Linked DNA regions of Arabidopsis thaliana. The protein of the gene in region 1 interacts with the protein of each later gene in a pairwise test. Each region holds a gene or a part of one and is shown on either strand. Other genes may lie near its edges. The genes, in order: AT5G01750, ISA1 and AT4G15730.

Evidence for each region.
Region 2: the proteins of AT5G01750 (region 1) and ISA1 interact in a two-hybrid assay, tested with the Arabidopsis thaliana proteins (one large-scale study listed by BioGRID).
Region 3: the proteins of AT5G01750 (region 1) and AT4G15730 interact in a two-hybrid assay, tested with the Arabidopsis thaliana proteins (one large-scale study listed by BioGRID).

Annotation. Positions count from the first base shown.
Region 1 is NC_003076.8:288,129-292,137, reverse strand, and holds AT5G01750 (LURP-one-like protein (DUF567)), read right to left. Parts: upstream 2,417-4,009; 5' UTR 2,105-2,416; coding exon 1,823-2,104; intron 1,696-1,822; coding exon 1,468-1,695; coding exon of another isoform or gene 1,453-1,467; exon of another isoform or gene 1,173-1,452; coding exon 1,029-1,172; 3' UTR 534-1,028; downstream 1-533. Other genes in the region: AT5G01760 (ENTH/VHS/GAT family protein), read right to left, coding at 60-138, 225-385. UniProt on the Arabidopsis thaliana protein: Might be related to the phospholipid scramblase and tubby-like superfamily of membrane tethered transcription factors.
Region 2 is NC_003071.7:16,663,972-16,671,965, forward strand, and holds the start of ISA1 (isoamylase 1), read left to right. Parts: upstream 1-1,879; 5' UTR 1,880-2,106; coding exon 2,107-2,436; intron 2,437-2,525; coding exon 2,526-2,708; intron 2,709-2,789; coding exon 2,790-2,882; intron 2,883-2,977; coding exon 2,978-3,130; intron 3,131-3,608; coding exon 3,609-3,700; intron 3,701-4,045; coding exon 4,046-4,187; intron 4,188-4,262; coding exon 4,263-4,370; intron 4,371-4,786; coding exon 4,787-4,872; intron 4,873-5,231; coding exon 5,232-5,303; intron 5,304-5,385; coding exon 5,386-5,512; intron 5,513-5,866; coding exon 5,867-5,953; intron 5,954-6,356; coding exon 6,357-6,449; intron 6,450-6,585; coding exon 6,586-6,741; intron 6,742-6,895; coding exon 6,896-6,979; coding exon of another isoform or gene 6,980-7,120; intron 7,121-7,223; exon of another isoform or gene 7,224-7,319; coding exon 7,320-7,400; exon of another isoform or gene 7,401-7,486; coding exon 7,487-7,569; coding exon of another isoform or gene 7,570-7,630; exon of another isoform or gene 7,631-7,751; coding exon 7,752-7,869; exon of another isoform or gene 7,870-7,948; coding exon 7,949-7,994. Other genes in the region: AT2G39920 (HAD superfamily, subfamily IIIB acid phosphatase), read right to left, coding at 1-170, 271-334. UniProt on the Arabidopsis thaliana protein: Involved in the trimming of pre-amylopectin chains. Accelerates the crystallization of nascent amylopectin molecules during starch synthesis. ISA1 and ISA2 work exclusively together as a multimeric holoenzyme.
Region 3 is NC_003075.7:8,951,553-8,959,500, reverse strand, and holds the start of AT4G15730 (CW-type Zinc Finger), read left to right. Parts: upstream 1-1,835; 5' UTR 1,836-2,286; coding exon 2,287-2,376; intron 2,377-2,835; coding exon 2,836-2,905; intron 2,906-2,983; coding exon 2,984-3,111; intron 3,112-3,277; coding exon 3,278-3,634; intron 3,635-3,731; coding exon 3,732-4,441; intron 4,442-4,773; coding exon 4,774-5,159; intron 5,160-5,245; coding exon 5,246-5,988; intron 5,989-6,159; coding exon 6,160-6,317; intron 6,318-6,477; coding exon 6,478-6,638; intron 6,639-7,040; coding exon 7,041-7,198; intron 7,199-7,395; coding exon 7,396-7,614; 3' UTR 7,615-7,948.

The DNA.
Region 1 (4,009 bases):
TGCATGTAGTTATAACCGAGAGAAGACAGGTTGGTTAGGAAAAGAAAAAAAGAGTGTACCGTTAAAGTGAGTAATTGAACTCTAGAACTCTTGTGCTGCAATCTTCTCTTCACGGCTTTGATGGCATCTTTGCATTGCCTGCACAAAATTTCAACGTCAGGGTATTTATTGTGAGAACAACATAGGGATATCATCATGATAAGAAAGCAAGATCATTTATTTACCAGCGATTAGAATTGAGAGAATCGCAGATGGCGATGATGATGGTCCAATCAGGAGTGCGGAGAAGCTCGCTCGTGGCTTTGTCCACCGCCACTGTCACTGACGATAGCCTCAACGAAGGAGAAGCAGAGGAGGAGGAGGAAGAAGCACAAGAAGGCCTCATCTCTACAGAAATTCTCGTCGAAAATGCCTTTATTCCACAAGGCGAGTCTAATTAAATTTTATCCCGCCATATATATACATTACATACACAGAGGAGGAGAGATATATTTTTTAAAAAATCAGCTTTCCGACAAATTCGTGCGTCCGTTCAAAAATATGTTCACACTTGGCCATGTCTTCTCAGTAACACCCGGTCCCACTCCTTGAGCAATTACTGCCACGTTGATTATTTTTCTTCGGTCAAACCTCTTGCGAGCAATTAGCAAGTCTGCAAGTGACGACGCTCCGTTTCAATAAATATTTTGCGATTGGCTTGTGTTTGATTTTTCTTTCTTCTTTTTTTTTGCGTTTTTTGTATGTATTAAAGATTGTAGATTTATTTCTCATAAGTGTTTTTTATACTAAAAAATTAGTACGTGAAATGTCTGTCACTAAAATAAATTTTTGTAACGATATGCACGTACAGTTGGCAGGAGATATTAATGAAAAAACAGTTATAAATGTAGTCATTAAACAACAAGGACAGGCACAATGATTTGATTATTTTACAACTGAGATGATCACACAAAGTTTTAACGGTTGATGAATAGCACATTATTGATGGATGGATAATTAAGAAGAAGAGAAGGTGATATCTTCTTCTCTCAGGCGGCGCGGTCTTCGCGGTTGACGTCATCGAGAATGACGACGAGAGAGGCGATGAAGGCATAATCGACGTTTGGATAAACAGTCACCGAGAAGTTGTCTTTTCCCAAGAATACGCTCTGCACCGTGTGCTTCCTGTGCATCTGTCCATCATTCACCATACCATTTTCCTTTTCTATTAGTAAACCGTTTTATTTCTCAAATCTTCCCAATTTCATCAAACATACAATATATGGGCTAAGATAAATGTATCTTTTGATCTAAACCGAAATCAAAAACTACCTAAACCTGTCCATCAAAACCGGATTCTAAAGCAGTAGACCAAAACCAGATTAAAACATTGCTAATTAATGTGTACTGTGTAGAGACATGTGAGATGCATTGATAAATGAGATGGATGGGCCCTTAATGAAGGAAAGAGAGTTAGAGATAGTATACTTGGGCAACAATGGCGTCAGATTCGCCGGCGTAAACAACACAAGAACGCTCGAGCCAACTCCCTTTGACTCTGAAATCACATCTCTTCTCATCTTTGTTGTGTCCCAAAAACACATCGAGTTTGGTCTTTAGCTGAAGCATCGACGATCTTTTCACCGTGTACAGCAGATCACGCTGATCCGTACTCCCTCCTCTAAACACTTGCCACCTGTCATGCATGCTCACCATCTGCAATCATCACGCGACACCAAACAAACTATTACTACTTTATTAATAAAATCCCATCTATACTTGTATACATGTTGTGTGTGTGCTTGCGGCTCTGTTTTTTTAACTAATACTATAAATTGTTGACCTTTTCTCTCAAAGTGACGACCGGAGTACCAGAACCATCCAGCAAGACCCTCTTGTCGTGGAGACCAAACACCGGTTCCTTCACCTTGAACAGCAGGTTTCCGTTGACGTCCGTTATCACGAAATTGCCGTCCGTTAACGACATCATCTTCCGTACGATCGCCATATCTATAGGGTAAGGAGCGCAGTACTTTGGATCCACTACCACTCCTCCGGCTTGTGGAGTCGGAGCTCCCGAGGGGCCACTACCTTGCGGGTATGCGTACACGTACGGCTGCTCCATTCTTCTCTTTCTCCACCGAAATTGATTCACTCTCTCTATTTTTTTCTCTCTGTTTTGCTTTGGTTGAAATTAATGTTTTCTTTTTCTTCTTGGTCTTATTATGCCGTGAAGATAAGTTTCAGGGTCTTCGACTTTATATAAATATACAAAATATCTGTATCGAATATGTTGACTTTTAAAAGTAGACAATCCTACGAGCATAAACTTTTAATTCTAGATAGATTAAAGATTCCAAGATAAAGATTTCCTCTAAGAACAAACCAAAAAAAACAGAAGAGAATTTAGACTATTTAATTATTTCCCGTGTTACACTTTTCTTATTGATGAAGTAGACGAATATATCAAAATGTTGCATTATTGATAAATTAAGGGAGGATACACGGTTGTCAATTGTTTTTAATACGGTCCAAATCTGTGACGACGCGTTTTGTTACCTTAAACACGGAAAAAAAAGAAGATTTTTACTCAACAAACACCGACGTATGGGTCAAATCATATTTTTTTGGATTCTTTTCCATATAATTTACAAATTAGTATTTTTTTCAACCATCGAAGATTTCATACTAATTAATTTCCATGTTGCTACAGAATTGAAATCAAATTTGAAAAGAAAAAAAAACTCCAATTGTGGTCTCCCAAATAACATTTGTTAAAATCTATCAAATGTTCAAATCATTTAAGGGCCCGCCTAACACTCGTTGATATTGAGGCAACTGACTATTTAATATTGTTGCCATTAGTGAAGCCCAGTATATGGCCTAGGGAGATATATTCTAAGCCCACTGACAACATAAGAGCATCGCTCGATTAATCGTTTTCAGATAAACAACTTTCCAATCAAAACTATTCTGCTTTTGTGTTTATCTTGAAGCAAACAAAACTTGCATACATCTAACATATCTGTTGTCTCATTGCTTATGTATAGAGGAGATGTGTTTCCAAACATGTTTGTTGAGACTTCGAACTTTGAAGCAACGCTCTGGTGGAATTGGAGTTTCTTCATGCCTCTTGCTGTGTTGTTCTCTCCAAATTGAATTAATTGCGATTACTAATAGTGATCTAAAAGGAGCTATCGTCATCTACAAAAAAAAAATCTAAAATATAATGATAACTAATAAGCTAAGCTCTTCTTTTTGTTGGAAAGTAAATAATCACGACATGAATGTCATTTTGACATTGAGCTAAACAATATATGTATCGAAAACGGTAATTTACACACTGTATTTTTCAGATTAAATACAAATTATACATTTCAGAGAAGTTATCTGAATATTTATAATCAACTATTTAACATAAAAGAATAATTAGTTCGACTGAAATATCCTTATTATATATGCATACGTTCCGATAACATATTTATAATTGTAAAACTGTTTGAAAAAAAACACTTGAATAGAATAATAGTTTGTAATTGCCAATTAATGTGTTCTAATTCAAATTTTAATTTATTAGACAATTAAAAGAAGAGGGAGATCAGAGAGATAAAACTGAATACCATTTGATAAGGAGCGGTATGACCTTACGAACCTGAAATGTGTGATTCAACAATTAAGATTAACATGTAACTTGGTCTATCTCGCACGCTTGATAGTGTATACGTATAATATGTGTATGTTATTTAAGCCCGTAAAAGAGCGAACAAGGTGGTAACCAGCAAGAGCAAGTATAATCTTAAAAAAATGAACGCATGCTCCACTAATCGATTAAATTACTCATCTTTACTCGGTAATCTTATACATTTATCATATCGTTTGATTATCTCTATTAACCTCATTAATAACTAAAAAAGGGGCAACCAAAAGGGTTTTAGTATTTACCCTTTGCTTGAAATGATATGACAGATTGACAGTTACTCAAATGAAACATCGGTTAATGACAATAGAATTAGCACCATAAGTAAATTTT
Region 2 (7,994 bases), on another chromosome or scaffold:
AGCCTCGACGATTGCAATATTCCGGTTCTCACAGCTTTGTAACATGGTTGATAAAGCAATAAGAAGTGTTATCATCAAAACTCCAAATGTTACTAGAGAAGCTATGAAGATGGAAGCTGCTAAAGATGTCATGTAACATCCAGATTCTATCGAATACCGACTCCCCAATTCTGCAAGATAAACAAGAAGATTTATCAAATTCAAGAAAATCATTGCAATAAATCAAACTAAACACAGATGGTAGAAGATAATGAATATATTAGTACATACCGGAATTGCCTCGGCTGGATAGACCGGAGAGCTCCCTCTCCATCGGATGCGTATAAGCCGACATTTTCACCTTCTTGTCTAATCAAACACTTACGATGATCATAAAAACATCATCTATAGTTTTAGAAGACAAAAGAGTGACTACTAAGAAAGAAAAAAAAAAGTTCCAAAATATTGAAGATATTATGGATATTGTTTTGATATTTTCCATACCTTGTAGAAGCTTCAAAACCAAAACGAATCTTTATTTTGATCAAGATCCGAAAAAAAATCCAAAGGTTCAAAATCTGCCTCTTTGGTCACAAGAAAACAGAGAACATATAATACATTTACACGTGACTTTTTTTTTTTGTGTGTCATCAGATCCAAAGTTGATATGCCTCAGCTTATCTTCTTTACTCGATCAAATAAACTTCTCTTCTCTTCAATTTTTTTTTAAAAAATCTTACACTAGTTTATTTTATTTTCCAAATTTGGCGGAGACATAAGAAAAAGGAATCAGACCAAACTTTTCTTTATTTAGCTGCTGATAGATCGTTTCATCATTCCTTTACTCGATTATACAATTATCAAATATATATTGATTAGTCAACACAAAAGTGAATTATTGAATTTTATGTTGTTGGACAAAGTAATTTTAACATTCTAGTTACAAGTAAACTTGCAAGATGGATCTATATATAGATGGAAAGATTTGTGATGTGAAAAACATCTACTCGTATCGTATGTTATAACAACTCATACGGTTGAAAATCGTGTACAGTAAAACCTCTATAAATTAAAAATGTTGGGACTGCTAAATTTTATTAGTTTAGAAAGATATTAATTTATGTATTATACTTTTAGTATATTGAACCATAATTTGTACGTATTTGACTCTTATGCATTTACGACAACAATTTTTTAAACCCTATATATGTTAACAAGTAAATAAGTCATTATCATTAGGGGTTTAAATATCTGAACTTGAAGAATTTGTAAAACGGTTCTCCGCGTCATCAGTATGTATAATATGGCTGGCCACTCCTTAGACCGAAGAGCTCGTTGTATAATATGTTTTATTTTAGATTTTCTCAAATCTCGCGGAGACATGGAAAATGAAATTTATTAAATGGATGGAGCAATTTGGTAATTTAATCAGTATGTCTGTATGTGTTTTGTAATGTTATAGTTTAAGATATGTATCACAATCATCTATATGTGACGTATACGACAAGAATTTAACTGTACGTACGATACCCTTATAATTATTATTCACTTAGATTTTTGTTTGTACTTTAGAAGAATCTGAAGAAGGGTCCCGGCGTCACCATGCATGTATGGTCACTCCTTAAACCAGAGATTCGTAAATAATTATATTGTAGTTTCCATTGTTATTGTCGATTTATTTATGGTCCCCAATGTTCTCTTGGAGTCGAGGGACCATACATTTAGCTTCAAAAATCTTACGATTAGGAAACGTGTGACAATAACATTTGTTTTGTTAGCTACAATTCCTAATTTCCTATGATTTGTACAATAATTTAAAGATTAACACAGCTTGTGGGATGCACATGGAATTTGTCTAATAGAATTTAGTTCCATCATATTTGCATACAAACAATTGTCACCTATTAATACTTTCATTATTACTTTCGATGAAACATTGTTATTGGGTATATAAATTAAGGCCCGGCCCTAAAGCCCATTTATTAGCCACGTGCAGTAACTTATTATTTTTTTCACTTATCAATAGTAAAAAAAAAAGATCAAAATGATCACTCTTTTGAGTGTGAGTGAACACACTTCGTCGTCTCTCTTTCACTACTTTTGAGAAGCTCTCTTCTTCGAGCTTCCATGGATGCAATCAAATGCAGTTCCAGTTTCCTCCATCACACCAAGCTCAACACTCTCTTCTCTAATCACACCTTTCCTAAAATCTCCGCTCCCAATTTCAAGCCCCTCTTCCGTCCGATTTCGATTTCCGCAAAGGACAGAAGAAGCAACGAAGCTGAAAATATCGCCGTAGTAGAGAAACCTCTTAAATCAGATAGATTTTTTATCTCCGATGGACTTCCTTCTCCATTCGGACCCACCGTCAGAGACGACGGCGTCAATTTCTCTGTTTACTCTACAAACTCCGTTTCCGCTACCATCTGCTTGATTTCTCTCTCCGATCTCCGTCAGGTTCAATCTTCAAAGCAACTGTTTTTGGGTTTCACTGACATTTTCATGAAACCCCTTTTTCAAATTTGGGTTTAAATTTCACGTTGCAGAACAAAGTGACGGAGGAGATTCAGCTTGATCCATCAAGGAATAGAACTGGCCATGTTTGGCATGTGTTCTTGAGAGGAGATTTCAAAGATATGTTGTATGGTTATAGATTTGATGGCAAGTTTTCTCCTGAAGAAGGTCATTATTATGATTCCTCCAACATTTTATTGGATCCTTACGCAAAGGTAGTTGAAAAATTGAAGCTTTTTTCTAGCAGCTGAACTACAGTCTCATAGATTATCTCTTTTGTTACTTTGGTTTGGTAGGCAATTATAAGCAGAGATGAGTTTGGAGTTTTGGGACCTGATGATAATTGTTGGCCTCAAATGGCGTGTATGGTACCCACTCGTGAGGAAGAGGTACCAATGATATTTATAAAGCTCTAGTAATAGCTATTGGAGGATATAAAGATATTCTTTAGCGAGTGATTTTATTGACCTTTGTTACTCTTCAGTTTGATTGGGAAGGGGATATGCATCTGAAGCTTCCACAGAAAGATCTTGTTATATATGAAATGCATGTGCGAGGTTTTACAAGGCATGAGTCTAGTAAAATTGAATTCCCTGGCACATACCAGGGTGTTGCAGAGAAGCTTGACCATTTGAAGGTACTTGCTCTGAAATATATACAGTTGAGAAAACTTTGAACTGTCATTTTGGAACAAGCTTACTAAGTAGTCTCTAGCTGAAATTTTGAGATGCTGCTAACTATATCTGTAGATTTTTTGTTAAAATATTCATTTGTTCAGCACTGAATTCGTCCTTTCTGATCATTGTGGGACAATAATATTCCCAGTTTATCAACTTCCATTGTGGTATGGCGTACATAATGCTATCACAAAGTCATCATGCTTTTTAAAAAGACAAAAAATAATCAAAATCGTGTTTTGGAGTGGCTATCAGTTGCCCTCATTTTGAAAAGATTCTGCCTTGTTTAATTCAGACGAGTTTTGGTGATTTAGGCCATTTCCATTTTGTTGTTCAAAATGAGCAGAGAGTTTATAGTTTTTTTTGTCCCTTTTAATAGTGTGTGATTTGCTATAGCTCTTATCTAATTGACAGTAATATTTGTTTACATATTGACAGGAGCTTGGGATAAATTGTATAGAATTAATGCCATGTCACGAGTTTAATGAGCTGGAGTATTACAGCTACAATACGATTTTGGGAGACCACAGGTATGACATTTGACCAGATGCCTTTGAAATGATAATACAACAGATTTTGCTATGTAAGTTTTTTTTAGTGACATTTGGGATGAGCAAACTAAATAGTAGAACCACTTGTCGTTAACGTCTGCGAGTGTTAGCATGTATCAATTAATCTCAAGAAATTCTTCATCTAGGATTGTTGTTTTCTCTTCCGATTAATGAGGGGTGAAACAACCTACAGATGATATCACATATCTGGAATAGATAGATTGAGCAAGCACTCTTACATGAAACCATACCATTTTATAATTTTCACGAATTGAGTTAAATGTTGCATATAGCATGTCTAATCTGGCTATCTTGCTATTTCAGGGTAAATTTTTGGGGTTACTCTACCATTGGGTTCTTCTCGCCCATGATCAGATACGCATCAGCAAGCTCTAACAATTTTGCTGGACGAGCCATAAATGAATTCAAAATTCTTGTTAAGGAGGCACATAAACGAGGAATTGAGGTATCAACTAGTTTCCAAATAGCGAAATATTTGTTGTTAGGTTTACGGATGCAGTTCTTGACAGATTTTAAGCAGGTAATCATGGATGTCGTCTTGAACCACACAGCCGAAGGGAATGAAAAAGGGCCCATTTTCTCATTTAGAGGAGTTGATAACAGTGTCTATTACATGCTTGCTCCAAAGGTAATGCTCATCAAGCAGTAATGTGTTTCTTTTCGCGAGTTTCACTGCTTAGAGAACAAGAGACAAGCAAAAGTTCTGTGGTGTATGAATCTGAAATATAGGACTCATTTTCTTTTGCCAATTAAAATATACAGTACACTCAATAAACTAAGTCACTTTGCTGATTGGAAATTCTGGTAGTTGGTCGGTCCAGTAACTTATTATGCGTCAGAAACCTGTAGGAGCCTTCTTTTGGAATTTCTGCATGGCCTTTACATAACTTCTCTAGGACTAGCAAAGTAGAATACATTCCCAACAATGATGATATAAAAGTCAACACCCATAATGCTTTTGGTTTTCTAGTTTTGTAGTCTCCTACTGATGATTCTGATATCATTCTTTATTAATCAATCTATGCATATTTTGTAATTTAACAGGGCGAGTTCTATAATTATTCAGGCTGTGGTAATACATTCAACTGCAATCATCCTGTGGTGCGTCAATTCATATTGGATTGCCTGAGGTAGATCCCAAAATAGGGTAGACGTATTGCTTGGCTGTTTGTCAAATTAAGTCTGTTATATTCATTGTTGTACTTGCAAACTCTCATTGTCTCGTCCTACTCGTTAATATTCCTCTGGTTTTTATGTCTAATGTCTAAGCCTTATTTGTGACATAAATATATTTAGGCAATTTGTTATGATTACATCTAGAATACACTGTAATCAACATATTCTTGGATACTTTATTTTGAGTTTACCTGCTTTCTGACTACTAAAGAAACCTTACACTAGGTTGATTTCTGAAATTAATGTATTTCATGATATTCTCCTCAGTTAACTCTTCCTAAGCATGTGGATATCTCTCTCTCTCTTTAAACAGATATTGGGTTACAGAAATGCATGTTGACGGCTTCCGCTTTGATCTTGGTTCAATCATGTCAAGGAGCAGCAGGTGCAAATGTTCTAGAGTACGTCAAATGAGTGCTTGTTTGGTCCATGTGTTTCTGGAATATTTATTGTTCTATTCTTGTTAGCCTTTGGGATGCAGCCAATGTTTACGGGGCTGATGTAGAAGGTGACTTGCTCACAACTGGTACTCCTATTAGCTGCCCTCCAGTAATTGACATGATAAGTAATGATCCAATACTCCGCGGTGTTAAGGTGATCAACTAGTTCCCTTGATATGTCCCCTTCAGATAGCGTCGGTTTTCCTTGTTTAGAGTGGAGAAATGCTGACTACATGACTACTATTTTATCTCAATCCATGACCAAACTTTAAAATCTCCCAATGTGATTAGGCACCAAAAGGTTAATTAGCGTACAACATGTTTTATTTCTTCTTGTTGTACTTCAGCATAGAGCTTCCTTTGTGTTTTTTTTTCAAGTCATGTCATAATCTCCAGATCTAAAGATGATTGTTAAAAAGTTGTCATTTTCTTGATGGAAATACATTCACCAATGTAAGATCTTTGACGATGAGATATTTATGTGTTTATGTTGCTTCTTTGCAAACAGCTAATAGCTGAAGCATGGGATGCGGGTGGGCTGTACCAAGTTGGCATGTTTCCACACTGGGGTATTTGGTCTGAGTGGAATGGAAAGGTCAGTTAATGTATTACGAGGATAAAATGCTTCTTTCAATTGTTTGAGACATGAGATATGGAAGAGTAAGTGTCACAGTGTATAAGGGTTTCATGCCAAATGTGATGTAATTATTAGTGGTTATTCATCTTTCTGCTGACCCTTAGAATATGCTCTAATCAATTGAAAATGGGACAGCCTATGTGATCTGCCTGTACTAGCTAACTGAAGTGTATAGTAACCTACTAGCCTGTATTAGCAATGAACATGGAAGTCTTAAACTTACTATCCAATAGACAACACATGAGACAACAATAATGAATATTCAGTTCTCGTGGTAGTTCCCATTAGTGTGTGCACTGTGCTGGATATCTATCTTCGTTGTGAATTTGATATGGTATAGTAACATTTTTGTCCATTTCAGTTTCGGGATGTTGTGAGACAGTTCATAAAAGGCACCGATGGCTTTTCTGGTGCTTTTGCTGAATGTCTCTGTGGAAGCCCAAATCTGTACCAGGTAAATTTAACTCCTATTATACTGGGGTATCTGGATATATAACTAATCTTTATGGTGTTCTCTTGGTTGTTTTGTCTGTGAAGCTTCATATTTTGGTTGTATATCTTATCGATATCTGATTGTGTCTGTGCATCAGGGAGGTAGGAAACCTTGGCACAGCATCAATTTTATATGTGCGCATGATGGTTTTACGTTGGCAGATTTAGTAACTTACAACAATAAGAATAACTTGGCAAATGGAGAAGAGAATAATGATGGAGAGAATCACAATTACAGCTGGAACTGTGGAGAGGTAAGATATTAATCTTTGTTTTCTCTTTCATCAGCTATGTGAATTCAGTCTCATATTATATCATACGACTTTTTGTAGAATGTTTATAAGCTGAAATGAAATGGCTATTGCACTTTTACCTAAACTAAAAAGGCTTCATTTGATTGGGCTGCAGGAGGGAGACTTTGCGAGTATCTCGGTGAAGAGACTAAGGAAACGACAGATGCGGAATTTCTTTGTTTCCCTCATGGTTTCCCAAGTAAAGCTAACCATTTGTTGCTTCTTTAATTTTAATTCCTGCTCAAAGCTCGTTTCACTGATGTTATGCACATTGAACTATGATACTGGAGTAGAGGGCATGAGTTCAAAATATAAATTAATAAGCCACAAGAGAATCTAAATCCACTAGCAATTAAGTACTATGCACTGTTTGTTTGCCTTTGCAACATGTTAAGTTGTGACTGGTAATGGCATGGTGTCATGCAAAGAATATGTATTAAGGGTACTGCTTTGTCAGATTGTGATGCTCCGGTTTTCATTGAAATTAGTGTATTGCTTAACCTTTTCCTTTTCTGTCTTTCTGAACTATTAATCACCAGGGTGTCCCAATGATTTACATGGGAGATGAATATGGCCATACTAAAGGGGGAAACAACAACACGTATTGCCATGACAACTATGTAAACCCCTTATGCTTTGCTTCCAGGGTGATTATAAGTAATTTTTTCGATCTTAGCTTTCCGACATTAACACAACTCTGATGCAGATGAACTATTTTCGGTGGGATAAAAAGGAAGAAGCACATTCTGACTTCTTCAGATTCTGCCGTATTCTTATCAAGTTTCGTGAGTATGTAATCTTCTTTCATGAGTCTATCGATCTTAATTGCTTAGTTGATCGCTTCACTTAGTCTCAAATCCAATAATTGACATGCTTCTTCCTTTTCACCTACTGCTATGTGTTTTCTTTCTTTTGCAATCCCCTGTTTCTCGGGTTTCCTCTGATCGATGGCCATTATGACTGTATTGTAGTGAATGTGAATCACTTGGCTTGAATGATTTCCCAACAGCAAAGCGTCTGCAGTGGCATGGTCTTGCTCCTGAGATCCCAAATTGGTCTGAAACAAGTCGATTTGTTGCATTTTCACTGGTACCATTTTCTCATACCCCTTCTCTTACATGGACAGTTTCCTTAGTGGGTGATATTAATCCCTTTTGTTTTTCGGTAGGTCGATTCTGTGAAGAAAGAAATCTATGTGGCCTTCAACACCAGTC
Region 3 (7,948 bases), on another chromosome or scaffold:
GAATGAACAATTTTATTGAGTTAGTGGCATTAGTGATAAAATTCCGACCAATTATATTCAACTGTATTTATATATAGACTAACCAATCTTTAAACTCTGATGCTTGTAGCAGAAACTTCGCACTCACATGCAGCCCTGCTATCACAAGCGACAACCGGACAAATCATTATTGGGGTTTAATTGTGGTTTCAAAAAAGTAAGGTGAAATTGGAAGAAAATAAAAAAAGTTTAGTCTATAGAAAAAACTATTTAAAGTTCAAACTTATGCATTAAAGTTTAATCAATTATAATAAAATAAATTTAGCAAAAGAAAAAAAAAAGCAAGATCAAAATCTTAGATGAAGATAGTAATAAAATATCAAAGAATTAAATTCGTAGAAAGAAAAGAGAATATGAAAGTTATATTAACTCGTAGAAGAAAAAGAGAATATGAAAATTATATTAAATTTGTAGAAGAAAAAGAGTGGTATCATGCAACCAATCTGCACAATTTGCAATCCGAAAATGGATTTGGTAACAACTTACGACTAGCCTTTTTGACATTTGTAAACGTAGTTAATGCACTTAACTACAATACAACCATTTTAAACTAGAATTTTTTTTTTATGATTACACATATATAGAACTGTTTATCCAATTTAGACATGGTCTACAACGAGCTAGAGTTTTATTAGAAACAATTGTATATGTGATATTGACTATAAGTATATGAGTTAAAGATCGGATTAGTGCCCTACTACTGTATATATAGAACTAGATTTTGACTCGCGGTATACCGCGGGGCTAGGTTTTTAATAAAATTTGTTATATAAAATGTATATGTAAATATTTGTTTTATTAATATTGTTTGCTTTGTTTAGTGTTTAAGATAATGTATATATAGATTTTAGTTGTTATATCTAGGATTTCATCCGTAGTATATCGTTTCGTATTATTATCGATCAAAACTCGTCATACCATCTAATCCTGCACATTGAAATTAAACATATCTAATAGATTTCACTTGTGGTATACCGTCTCGTAATACTATCGACCAAACCCGTCCTACCACTAACCCCGTTCAGTAAAATTAGACATTATTTTGTTATTTTTGTTTTAATAATACTTTAGTTTAAAAAATATTAATTCAAATCAATTTAAAAGTTTTTTTTCAAATGGTTATTTAATTATTATAAAGTTTATATATTATAATATTATAAACACGTCCTACCATCTATTCCTACTATCTAATCATGTTCGGTGAAATTATTTTTCTATTTTTTTAATAATATTTTTATTAAAAGATTTATAATTTAAATCAATTTAAAGTTTTCTTTCAAATGGTTATTTAATTTTTAAATATTTTAACCATTTTGGCAAAAATAATTAGGCCATGAAATAAAAGCATATTCTTTTGAATAAGATTTGCTTTGATTTGGTAGTTAATTTTTGCATTTAATAAGTCAGTGGCAGCCATTGTAAATAAGTTCCAATTGCAGGATTTATTTCATAAAATGACTACAAAAATGTATATATAGATTAGATAGTGTTTAGAGTAATACATATAACAAGTTATATTTTATTAAATACATAAATATATACATAATAATTAAAGTGTGGTATCATGCAACCTATTTAGCGAACTTAGGAACAAAATCCACAATTCGTTATTGTCATGAATTCGTATCTCTCATTTCTAAACTGTTAAGCAATATCCGATAAAATCTAAGAAATATAAGGGGCAAAATGTAAATTATTTCTCAAGCATTAATAAATGAGAGATACGAATTATAGAAAAATTAAAGTTGTTTATAATTAATTAATTAATGATTAAACCATAAACGAAAGGAACCCTCCAAAACTAAACACTCTTCAACACATAGCGTCTTGTCTGCAAAAAAAATCGGAGACGCAAAACCAACTTGCCGCCGAATCTTCCTTAAACCCTCAACGCTGCTCTTCGCCGCCGTTGAGACGATCACAGTGATCGAATCTTCCTTTTCAACTTTCTCGTCTTTTGATCAAACGAGTTTGGTTGAGTTTTTGATAAACGTGATTAAGCGATTAATTTCGCGTTTTAACAACAATCTAGATTGTCCTTTGGAGATTGAACAAATTTAGGGTTTTTGGGGATAATCTAAGTGTTTATGATTTGAAACTTTGTGTGTTTTGAGATTGTTTTGGGCAATGTTGGATTTTCGAGACGGTTTGGTGGCGGCAGAGTTAGTGAGTGTTGGGGTTTAGGAAGTAGTAGTAGTTATTAGGGTTTGGAATTGGGTTATGTTTAGGGTTTTACTAGTTTAGAAGATGGGAGAGGATTATGAGCTTGAAGAAGGAGAGATGAATTGTTCTTCTGATGAAGCTGTTGTTGATCTTGACGTTGATCTCTCTTACATTGTGAGTCTCTCTTGTTTGTGATTTTTTTTCTCATTATTAAATGATCTTTTTTGTGTGGTGTTATGTGAAGCCGTTGTTGATCTTTGTGTGATGCTTAATTTCTGATTATGTTTTGGAAGTGTTAAGATCATATGAATAGTACAGTACTCTGTGTTTATAATGCCAATGATGATTAAGTTTTGTGCATCTTAGTTTAGTTGGAGGAGATATACCTTTAATAAGATATTTCAATTGCTATGAATCTTGCTTGTTTCTACTGAGTTTTGAGTTTTAAACAGAGAACTATGTGTCTGTCTTTTGTAGCATATGAAATCTCAATTTTATGTATCTCAATAAAGAATATATAGTGTGGATACTCATTTTTTCTCTGTTTTTGTATCTTTGTGTGTCGAAGTCTTTTTCTTTGCCTGGTGGTTTTATTATATATGTGCTCAAGTTTTGTTGCTTTGTGTATCTAAGGACAAGAAGGTACAGAATGTACTTGGCCACTTGCAAAAAGGTTTCGGAGAGGAAGCCCGGGACCGGTTTGGTAAGTAATATTAAATTGGTGTTAGTGAGATATTTGTTTTGAAATGAAATGTCGTTGTTGAATGATATGGTTGGTCAGGTCCGGAGATCTTTGACTATGGATCATTTTTGCCCACTTACAAACGTTTGCCGGCTGTACCATCATGTCAAAGGAGTTCTCTAGGGAATCATGCTGTACAAAGAATTTCCAACAGTTTACCCGGGAAGGTATGAGAGAAACAATTCTCAATTCCATGTGAGGATAAAAGGAAAATATGGTAGTGAAACTACCTTGTTGTTTTTGTTTGAAGGAATCTGGACCTTTTAGTGATTTTTCTTCCTCAGTGTTTTAAGTAGTTTAATTATGAGTACTTATGAATTATTGTTTGCGCAGAATGTGGTTCAGAAGTTTCAGTCACCCCCTGCTACATCTTGTAAACTAGTAAGAAATCAGGATCCTCAGAACTATCAAACTTCAGGATCTCTTTTGGCTCAAGCTCCAGGAAAAGTTCCCATAAATAAAGGAAATGCAAGAACACCAGCCAATGATTTGCCTCATAATAAGCCGATCAGAGTTCGGATCAAAATGGGTTCTGAAATCTTGTCCCAAAGTGTCGCGATGGTTTGCAAGGATCTTGGTCTCGATGGTTCTCCAAATTCACCACCCCGAATCAGCCAGGATGATAGTAGCAGAATGCTACCGCATACATCTCTAGGGAAGACAAGTGAATCTCCTTCCCGCATTCTTCAGGTATATCATATTTCACATTCTTTCGCTTATACCTTTTTTTGTGTGTGGATTAATTCGTTTGACTTGATGCCACCTTACTTTTAACTTCATGAAACAGGAAATGACTGCCATTTCTGTTCCAGAGGATCTACTGATGTCGCCTCTTCCTGATAGTCTGCTCCTAGTGAAGGATAAGAAGAAGCAATATACTTTATTAGACAATCAACCTATGATTAAGACAGGAAAGAAATCTTCTATTCAGATACAGAACAAGTTCTCGGATGTTTTATGTTGTGAGAAAACTCCAATTGGAAGGAGAAGGAAAGAGGTAGACTGTTTTCATGCCACCACTTGGAATGAGACGAAGAAGCATAAAGTTTTATCCACTGGTCAGCTAGCCAGGGATAACTCAGCTTGTGGTTTAGGTGGGGCAAGTCTTACTACTGATGGGTTTACAACAAAAAGTAACTTGCAGGAAGGTTGTAGAAAAGATGGTGAAAGTGATCCCAGAGTCGCAAATAAAATAAAGTTTGTTGGGTTGCATGCTGTGAAAGAGAAAAAAACATGTCCGACAAAGTTGCAACAGAACCGTAGCAAATATCGTATTGGTGATAAAGTTTTATCAAAGATGCCTTTGAAGGATGCCGCATATATAGGTCACAATAGCATGGACACTGGGTTTGATTTTGCGGTTGCACCTTCTTCCACCAGTGTTGACCTAGATTATTGGGCCCAATGTGAGAGTTGTGAGAAATGGCGGCTACTGCCCTATGACCTGAATACTGAGAAGCTGCCTGATAAGTGGTTGTGTAGCATGCAAACCTGGCTGTAAGTATCTGATTATTTCATATCACCTCGTTTTCTAACATATGTCTTTTCAAGTATTTGTATCTTGTGCTCTTTCCTTGATTCAAGCACTAGCCCTTTTTAGTTGCTATTATAGTTAGTTTGAAATAAGTTTCGTAGTTCGTTATAGGAGAAATCTTTTCGACCATGTGAAGGTCTTGTTCCCTAGAATGGCTGGGTCAAGCGTTAAAGTTATAAAATTGTATTGACAACGCTTCTACTTACTTTCTGGATTTGGTCCTTCAACTTTGTGCAAAACCTCAGGTTATCATATTATCATATCTCCTTATCGTCTCCCTAAAATTCTCTTGTAGGCCTGGAATGAACCACTGTGGCGTCAGCGAGGAAGAGACTACAAACGCAATTAAATCCTTTCATGCTAGTGAGGGTCATGGTCCTGACACTGGTGTTAAACTCCTCTCTGATGTTCGTAATGCTGATAAAATCTACCAACCTTTAACTTCTGGTTCATTGCCTAATCCAATTGAAAAGAAGTCTAACGTAGAAGACTTATCGCAAGGAGTTTCAAGCAACATCCTTGTTGATGCTGCAAAGCCTATGAGAAGTAACCCACATATTTTCAAGAATAAAAACATGAAGCTGCCAGGAGAAACACCTACTGCTACTCAGATATCTGCAGACCTTTCGCACGATTTTTTTCAGGATAAGATTGACCAGAAAGCAAAGAGGAGAGCAGCAGGTCAGTCTTGCCATCTGACAGCTAACTAGTGTACATTTTCGCCGCACTTGGGCTTCTTTTATCAAAACAACTTGTTATTATTGTAGGTGCTGGTTGTCAGATAAAGGTCAAGAAGAAAAAGGAGGCTGACAAAGAAGAAAGTGATGGTTCCAAGCATATCAAGACTGGTGATGGTAACAAACTTGCCAGAGTTATTAAAGCAGAAGAAATACATTGGAATCAAGATCCTAAATGGACTCCAGCAGAGAGAAAAAGAAAACGTCATGACAATGATTTTTGCACTTTGAATGTAGAGCGAGACCCAAAGAAAAGATTACTCGTATCTAAAAAGAAACCTGACCACAAACCTCAACTGATAACTGCTAGTGGTTCCTTGTGTACAAAAGCCCAGGGAAATATCAATAGTACTGTGAGGAAAATAAGGTTGATGGGTTACAAGCAGGGTAAGGATGGGAAAAATTCAAAATTGTTTGCAGATGGTGAGGAAAACGAGCCCTCAATGGAAAAGGCGGTAACAACTAAGATTTCAGTCCATGAATCTAAAGCAAACCAAAGAAATGAATTGTTTCAGGCTGATTGCTTTCAAGAACACCTGAATGGTGATGCCTCATGTAGATATTTCTCTGGTGGAAGTGGGCAGATTTCTGGGATAGAAACATCAAACTCGTCGAAGGTTTTAGGATCACATAAAAGTGGACGAATGTATGTGGAAGAAGTAAAAGCATCCCCTGTGGAATCAGTTTCCTCTTCCCCTGCAAGGTCTTCATGCCCCACGAATGATATACTTCAAGAGGCTGAAAAGCTGAGAAAGCTTGCTGACTGTTTCAAGGTCAGATTTTTATGCCACCTCTAATGTAGTCTGAAGCTTCAAGTTTCATCTGCTAGAAATAAACTAAAGAAACAAATGATGGAACAGTAATATGAATCACTGCTGTCTTTCTTCTGCTAGTTTTGTGTTGGCTATTAATTTTTGGTTGTCTTTCTATCTCAATGAACTCAGAGCTCTGGATTTGAATATGAATACAAGGAGATCAACTTTAAAGCGGCTCTGAGGTTTCTCCTTGGAGCTTCAGTTTTAGAAATGTGCAGTACAGATAATGTGGAAGTGGGGAAGATGAGCCATATTGAGGCTTACCATACTGCTGCAAAACTTTCAGAGTAAGTGAATGCTTGTGATAGCTCATTTCCCATTTCCTTATGACTGAGGAAACTTCTCAGGAATCCGGTGTCTTTCGACTTTAGGTGTTGGTATTTGACAGAATGCTGTTGATTCGCTTATGATTTTGTGCTCATTGAACACTCTGCTTGTTTTTCTCAGAAGTTGTGCCCATCAATATGAAACAAGCCAAGAAATGGCTGCAGCTACTTTGGCTTATAAATGCACAGAAGTGGCTTGCATGAGATTAGTGTATGGCAGAAGTCTAGGTCTGAGTGGAGAATGGAATGAATTGCAAAAAATGGTACAGATGACTCCTCAAGGTACTATTGTATATTTCATCTATGATCATATCAGTTAGTGAACGTTTTTTTCCCGGAAATTTATTTTCAATATGGTCAAGTCAGAATTGTAGTAGTTATCATTGTCTAAAATAGTCCTCAGTTCTTTTGCTCGCGTCAAAATTCTCTCAGAAGATATTTACCTCAGCAGTAGTCAACGTATACCTATTATTTTGGCTTAGTATGTCCACCTTTTCATAGTTTACAGATTTTTTATACTTTATAGGTTTGAAGTATTTTCAGGCAAAACTTATGTTGGAAGTTCCTCAATATCTGGACAAAATTTAGAGAAACATATGCTTGGGATCTGTTTATACGGACAATTTATTTACTGCTGTCCGTTTCAGTAAAGTCACATATTGTTCATTTGAATTGTTACCTCAGGTGAATCACCGTCATCATCTGCATCTGATGTCGATAGTTTCAATCATCAAGGGGTGATTAAGAAGTCTGCTAAAACCAGAAGAGGTCTTTCCCATGTTGCCGGAAACCTTCTCCCTGTTGCTAGAAGCCAACTAAATTTTGTTCCGCTATTGGACTTTGTAAGTTATCCCACCTTCATCAATTATGGCATGATACATTTGGAGTATTTGAAAAAGCGAACTGGGTTGTCTCTTACCTATCATATTTGAGTTTTGAAATCTCAACTAAGATCCTCCTATTGCCTAAACTGTGGAGGTCTTTGTTATCTATCTTCCTGTGCCAAACAAAGCTGATATTCTATATTTATCTAATACAGACAGGGAGCATGAATCTGGCAATGGAGGCCTCAGCAAAATCCCAAAATGCTTTTAAAGCCGTCACTGACACCTCAGAAGAAAGAAAGCATGGAGACTGTATCTCTGCTATCAAAAAAGTTGTCGATTTTAGTTTCCATGATGTTGAAGCGCTTATAAAGATGATTGAGGTTGCCATGGATGCTCTAAGTTCATCAAGATTCGGTGGCCCAAAGTGTTGACTCTATTTTGTATATAGACCCTGGTCCTATAAAGAATAGAATAGTGTTTCATGAACTTCCATAGAAAAATCTTAGTAAGTAGCATAGATTAGGAAAGGAAGACTTGGAGAGAGGACACTAGATAAGGTCTAAGTTTGCTATTTGCAGTAACTCTCAGGGTCCTGTTTCAGGTCTTTCTTCTTTTTGGTGTCTGGGTATTCAATATTAACTAAAGCATATTTATAGAAGAGTAGGAGGATTCTTAGATATAGTCATTTAAAAGATCGGTTAGTGATAAGATTTCTGACAAGACACTGCTCTAATCCTGTTTCAGTTCTGTTCAAAGTATTTTGGA